Caenorhabditis elegans: one gene and its partner. The protein of the gene in region 1 purifies or fractionates together with the protein of each later gene. This does not show direct contact. Each region holds a gene or a part of one and is shown in the gene's direction. Other genes may lie near its edges.

Region 1 (2,641 bases):
CACGCGCTTTTCTCTCAAACAAAAAATTTTTTGTAAAAAATTTTTTATCTAAGAACTTGTTCTTTACAAAAAGGTTAACAACTTTTTAGTTGATGACTTTTCTGTAAAAAAAATTATCCGCGGAGATATGCGCTACCGAAGTGAAATCGGAAAATTGGCAGTCGGAAAAATTCTGGAGTTTTGCCGCTAAAAATTCACGAGTAACCGTTTCAAGACATGGGCTATCGAATGGCATAGAACTCTTGTGCAACTCCAATGGGCACCTTCTGACGGTTCCCTAGTTAGACATGTTAGATGGGTCGAGTGGGTCAACCTATCTAAAAAAGACCGGATTCCCCAATCCGCATTCCGGTCCGGAAAAAAAGACATTCATTTCAAACAACATTTGCAGAGAATTTGTTTGATCCAGCAAAAAAGGAGCAAGACTAGCTTGTTTTTTTTCCTTTTTTTGAACAGGTGTTCCATCAAACCGGTGTGTTATGTTAGAAAAATCATTTCTCGCTCGTTTCCAAATTGCCGTTTGATAATATAAAAATTCAGGATTCTTTTTGAAATTTGCCGGAAAATGTTATTTTAACATTTCGTATAAAACTAATTATTTTAATTTCAAATAAACAAGAGAAAATAGCGATTTGTCGAGTTTGCCATGCGTGACAAATTTTTTTAATACGGTTTGTCGAATTAACTGTAGTTCTTGTGAATTCAACTTCCAATGTAAGTAGTCTAGCCAATCTCTTTGGAATGCTATAACCGTGACACCGTCCAAAGTAACTATATAGGTACAACTTCTGGGCCTGCGCGAGGTTTCAAAAATGTAACCCGCTCAAGCAAACCTTGCCACAATTTTATAAGTGATGATTTTCATTTACAAGTTATGCATTTTCACAAAAAAAAGTATAAGAAATTGAAATAAAAACATGTAGCAGCCCATTCCATGAGATTAATTACAATGAATTTCATTTTTGTTTACCATCGCCATTCATCGAGTTAGCCATCTTCATCAATAGAACTTTTTTGAATTGCTCGTCGGTAGCTTTGCATAATTCCGTCGACATGTATCCGCCGCGAATAAACTGAAAGCATGAAAGCATTTAGCAATCACTTTTTCCGAGAACCCACCTGTCTATTGTCCTGCGAGTTATTATCAAGGTTTTGCTTGTCAATATTTTTGTTTCCCACGTTCACTGTGGTATCGACTTCTGCATCAATAGCCCAACCCATGATTTTTTCTGTAAAACATTAGATTAAAAACGAATGATATAGATTTCGAACGGCACTGAACGGTAAGGGTTGCGGGCTGAGTATTTATAGAAAAATAAACTGAGCAAGAATGAGCAAATAATAATGAAAAATTAGCCTGTCTTATGAAAACAAACTATGATGGGTTGGTCTGCCGCTGTGTACACATCCTAAAGCTGAATGCGCAATGACGTTTAAAACAAACTACATTTTATTTTCAATAGACTCACTCAAAATTTGGTCTCGCCAGTTTTCGAGATGTTATTTGACATTTGGTCTTGCTTACGCACGGTGAGTTGTTTATATCGTTCCTAGAGAACCTTTTTCAAGTTGAAGAGATAACTATTTATTTTTAATACAGAAAAACAAGAGGAAGAGGTTCATTTGTTTACTTATTTTCCGAAGTAAAGTTTGGTCCAAAACGTGTTTCTCAGAGATGAAATAATCCACAAACATTCTCATTATTTACTATTTCTTCCTCATCTTTATCTCGCATAAATACACCTACATGTTCTTCAAGACACTATATTTCCTGTTTTAATTGCAATTATGGGTTGGGCTATCGACGCCAAGGTTACTACCACTACTAATTGCGATAATTATACTGAACGCAGCGGAAGCGAACGGGATAATCGTGTTGACAACAGACAGGTTGGTTCCTCGTGTACGTATTCGCGTAAATTCATATTTCTCAGAGAATCATCCACAACCGCAATGAAAAGGATGAGCAACGAATTGATTCGATTATCGCTCAAACTACACAAGAACATAACGAGCACATGTCGCGTATATTTGGTTTGGCAACGGTAAAAGCTTTATGTTCAGACACAAAATCTGAAAATACTGTTTACAGAAACTGTCCCAGGGAAAATGATTCTGGAGCCTCACTCTACGTTTTAAAATACACAGATATTCATGATTCTTATCCATTTAAAGCAAATATCTATAATTTTGAATAATGAAGCTATGTATATTCTTTGCATTTTTTACATAGGATGATTGACAATACTCAATCTATGTACAATCCTTGATCTACAATAAATGAAACAACGCAGAATTGATCAAGGATACAAAACACCTTTCATCTCAACTTTCTCTTTGTATTTTAGCCATAAAATCAAAAAGTTGAATATGATAACATCGGAAACAATTTATTGCAAGACGGTCCACAAGCTGGAGCCGAAAAGAGGTTCTCGGAAGATGTTGAGAGCATTATTGGTCGTTATTATATCTTTTTATCTCATTTCAGCTGTAGATGAATTTTTTGGAAAAAGAGATACCATTATTAGAAATCAGAGTATTCGATGGATCTTTCTGAATCTTGTCCAGAATAATCTGTTTCAAATATATTTCAAATATACTTGAAATATATTTAAACCAGATTTGGAAATATATTCCCAAA
Region 2 (4,892 bases), on another chromosome or scaffold:
TTCACTACCATTTTTGTTTTTTGTATTCTTAGAGTTACTATGTTTTTATTGTATGTAAAATAATGCCACTGGAAAGTTTGTCTTAAATTGAAAAACATTGTGTGAAAAAAAGAAGACAACTACAAACTTTTTTTTAGACATACAATTTTGCATGCCGACAACTATTGTAAATTATTCAATATTTCTCAAATATTATCCACGATTTCAATCAAGTTTTTTTTCCGGCATACGTTCTTAATTTCAAGATGTTTAGTTCAAAAAGAGTATACAACATAGGAACTACAAAAAACCTGACAAGAAATGCAAAAAACAAAAGAAATTAAAAGGCTGTTCGAATTACACCAAATATCAAAATAAAACTTTTCAGAGAATTTTGAAAATTTTATAATGATTGTTGCGTTTTAGCACTATAGGTATAGGTATATGTTTCAATAATTTCCTTGATAGCATTTTTACAGTACTTCATTTTGGTTTTTTTTTTCAAAAAGCCCAAAAATAAATTAATTCTGAAAAGTTTTCAACAATTAATTTGAGTTTTCTCGTTGGGCGAAGTAATTGTTTATCATCTCTTAAAATTAGATAAGAGGGTTGATGTAGTTGTTTTATCAGTACGTCAAGTAGGTTCAGTTGCAGTTCATGCCAGTGTTGCATAGTTTTTTCGCATTGAAAAAGAATATACTTGCCTGTAAATTTGAATGCAAGAAAACACTTTTGTAATAAGAATCTGCACGTGCCAAAAGTACTTTTTGCAAAAAAAATCAGACCAATTTAATCCATTCAGTTCTTAACAAATCTTTCATGATGAAGCAGATATTTCACGTGGTTTACCAAAAGTTTTTGAGCGTTTGGCATTTATTCAGAGGTGTGAGCATGACTTATGACGCCTTATATAGTGGAGATAGGATTATAAAAAGTCATGGCAATAATGGAAAAACATATCACATAATAAAAAGTAGAATACGTGGATTTATTTCAATAATTTAATTGTTTTGAAAAAACCAAAAACTGAAAAAAAAGAGTACTGGTCAATCAAACAACGAAACATTCTAATTTCATTTTGTTTTAAAGGAGGGATATTGGCATGAGTTTCGCTTGTAATATTTAGTGTATAAAAGCTAATTTTTGTATAACAGCTAATTTTCGAACGCTGCAACATGAAAGAATTGGTAACCTTAGGGATTCAAGCTAAAATTAGGCAGTTTTGAATTTTGAAATTTTAAAAAGACATACTTTTAAAAAAAATTTTCTGAGAAGTTCATTACGAATTTTGTTGATTTGAGTTTTGTCTATAGAAGCAATATAAGTTAACATTAATAGTTTCTTGATAAAGTTGACAAAATTTCCAACTTTTTAGCTACTGACACCGATAGTGTTCAAACACCTGTTTAATTACTTTTTTTCAAAAAAAAAATCACAAATCTAATCATAATCAATCAAAAAATACTCGTGCTACTGTCTGCTTGATTCAGTACACAAACAGTCAATAAACCGGTGATTTGTCTCTCTATTCAGTGATTTCACGGCAACCAACCACCCACGTGTCCCCAAGTTTCCCAATAAGTTATAATGTTTTAGTGATATGCCCATGCGCTTCCAGAAAGACTAAAATTAAGCAGCAATGGAAAAAAAATGCACAAGCGTCACCTTCGTATCCTTCCTTTCTGCCTACACATGTCCTCGCAAACATTCCTAATCTCCGCCCCGTCTTTTTTCTTTTTGTCGACCAAAACATTTCTCATCTTCTTTTTACATCGCATGTTCCTGTTCAAATCACTTTGACACTTATCTTCATTCCGAAAGGTGATAATATTTTGTTCGCTGTTTATTGTTTTGTTGTTGTGATGCAATGTACGCAAGAATAAAATCAATTTTTTTCAGAAAATGTCTGAAGAAGAAGAATCTACAGATAATTCTGGGAAACCCCCTATAGAACATCCGCATGATAGAGAGGTTAAATCAGAAAAACAATCATCAAATGTGCTTCCTGGAATATTGCGACGAGCTGAATCCACGGATGATGCTCATCAAGTCAGACGATCATCAATGCGACCATATGAATCTTTCGATGGTTTAAAAAATGATGGAATACTGAAAAGGTAATTTTGTGTACATTGCAGTCACATTATATGGTTTCGTTATGATGAAAGACAAAAAAAACGTGAAAAACAACTTGCACATGACCCACGGTTAGAAGATAGTGTGATCAAATGAGGGAAATGAGAGATCAAATAGAGCATAGTCTCCAAATTTTACAGGAAGTGATAAACTTCACGTTTTTTCATATTTTTATTTTACCAGGATTATACTGAGTTCAATGAAACTGAAATTTCATGCAGTCCCTGGAATTAAAATAAATAGCCAGAGAAATTGTTAAATTAGAGTTGAGTTTTCGCGTAATTAAAAAATAATTTTAAAATTTTAAAATAATTTTTTATTGTTCAGGAGGTAAATGCATATTCCGGATACTCAATTTGAATTTAAAACGTGGAATAGCTTGGTGAAATGTGGGAAACCCTTTTCCTGTGATACTAAGATGATGAAATAATAATATAAAACGTTTTATTTCATATTTTCAGAACTGAAACTCTAAAAATGCTTCAGTACTCACTGTTTTCATTTCCGCCAAACCCATAACCCATGTACAATAGAGCGCCCTTGAATAATCTCTTAACTTTGTAATATCATTTTTTTAAATTTTTTTAATAGTATTTTAATACAAAAATGTTAACTAATTAGAAATTTTTTCAGCCTTGAGAAATAATAGAAAAATACAAGGCAAGTTTGAGAGAGCTCTATTCAAATCAAAGTCTGAGAGAAACTAAATGTTTTTTTTTCTAATTTTCAAAATTTATTAAGATGTTAAAACAATTTTTCATAAGCAAATTTTTAACTGATTTTGAACCTTTAAGTTGAAGCTTCAGACCTTGTTCACTATTTCATAAAAAATCGTGTGTAACCTTTAAAAATGTATCCAATGTGCCAGTAAAACATATATTTTTGTAATGGTACGTGCTTGCATTTTCGTTTTTTTTGTTTGATATTCCAAATGTTACAGGTTAGGTTAGAGTAATAGTAGGTTAAAGGTTAGTTATTACAGCCATTTGTAACCGACAAATTGCAAATCCTCTATCTATTAAGAAATCATCATAACTATTTTGTCAGACTCTAGATTTTTAAATCTCAAGTACTGATTCAGACATTCAGTTCAAAAGATTAGTTTCACAGCTTAAGAATATACTTATCTCTTTTGCTTTCACTGACTATATCCTTATCTTAAATTTATCATCAATTTTTTGACTCATCCCAATGAAAAGAGCCTTAAAAGTTTGGGCATGTTCTTTTTTTCTATTTTACAGCTGATAATTTTGTTACTAAAACAACTTAACTTCTATATTTTCTATCATTCTTTTGGTTCTCTTCATTGTCTATTATTTTTCTTTAGTTTTGTAGATTTCAGCTCCACTTGATTCTTTTTTTACTTGAAAATAGTCTCGATGATCATAATATTTGCTTTTCGGAACAAGTGCACTTTGTTTTCACCATTTCCGAATTTTTATTGTTAAAGTACAGTAAAGTAACATCTCTTCTGTTAGCTCGATTGTGTTCGCATGACTGCACAATGCTCAGGTGACCGAGCAAAACTAGCTGAAAACGCTTTTCAGGTCTATTCAAGTAGAAATCTGAGATGTAGAGAAAAAAATATATCTCCTCAGTTTTCAAAATTTTGAGTTTAAGAAAAGTTTTGATAACTTTTATTATTAATTTTGAACCCCTTGTTGTTTACACTCTATATTTCCTTTTTTCCTTTTCTCAGAACACCATCCGTACTTAATGGATGTGAGACCCAGCACGAAGGACATATAGAAATTTCAAGTGAGAGTAAGCAAAAGTGTTTTTTGGCTTCCCAAAGCTTATTCACGCAGCTAACAATTGCTCTTTCACCCACCTTTGGTTAATCCATCCTAATCTGATCGCATGGAGGGAATGAGGTGGGATGATTAGTTGGCATCGGGGAAAAAACAGTTGAAAATGAGGAATAAATCGGATTAGTTGTCATGGAAAGCTTGGGAGATATGCGAGGATTCGGGTTGGATGAATAACATATAGTGTGTGACGTCTTGTAAGATATCATCAGTTTTTGTTTTTGCCAAATTAGCAATTTCTTTGAATTTTTTCTACATTTGAACATTGCTCTAACGAACATCATTTTTCGTTTATTTTCTAACACACCTCTCTAGGCCGTTGATCTTTGAAATTGTTTATTGTACTTGTTTTGATAACCAAAAATCGGCGAGGAACCAAAACCAAGCCAATAAAAAAATATTGGCACGGTGTTATTTCAAATGCATTTCGGTTTCAAACTATTTTCCATATATTCATTTCAGTATTATGTATATCGGCACCGGTAACGGTCAAAATCGGCTATTAAAGCTCAAAATAAAAATTGAAAAAAAAAATCGCTTTGTATGTTTTCTACATTTGTTCAGTTTTTCAGTTCACAATTTTTCAACTTTTTTTTTGATTTCTCGGTTTTCATAAAATCAAAAATCGTACCCTTTTGTAATATGTTTTACTAAGAGTTCTCTAAAATATTATTTTTCTAATTTATTTGATTTTCAGTAGCAATTCAATTATCTGTTAAGCAAAATTGAATTTTTAACCTTTCTCATCATTTTCAAATGTTTAACCGTTCTCCCGCACAAGGTATTTCACAAAAGTAAAATGAGACCAAGCAGTTTCTCTTCGTTTTAAAACAAAGCCATCTATTCGAACATCACTATGAAAGAAAAAACCGAGAAAAACAAGGTTGTCTCTCAAAATCTAACACAGACGCACGTGCCCTCCCGTTCATCTGCTCTTCTCCGCTTATTTTCTTTCCCGGCCTTGTTGTG

The links. The genes of interacting proteins can lie anywhere in the genome.
Region 2: the proteins of F09C6.11 (region 1) and ist-1 fractionate together in Caenorhabditis elegans (co-fractionation; one large-scale study listed by BioGRID). This does not show direct contact.

Annotation. Positions count from the first base shown.
Region 1 is NC_003283.11:16,881,458-16,884,098, reverse strand, and holds F09C6.11 (Transposase), read left to right. Parts: upstream 1-1,788; coding exon 1,789-1,890; intron 1,891-1,934; coding exon 1,935-2,045; intron 2,046-2,092; coding exon 2,093-2,113; downstream 2,114-2,641. Other genes in the region: F09C6.12 (Flagellar rod assembly protein/muramidase FlgJ), read right to left, coding at 957-1,073, 1,120-1,221.
Region 2 is NC_003284.9:7,124,770-7,129,661, forward strand, and holds the start of ist-1 (IRS-type PTB domain-containing protein), read left to right. Parts: upstream 1-1,881; coding exon 1,882-2,096; intron 2,097-4,892.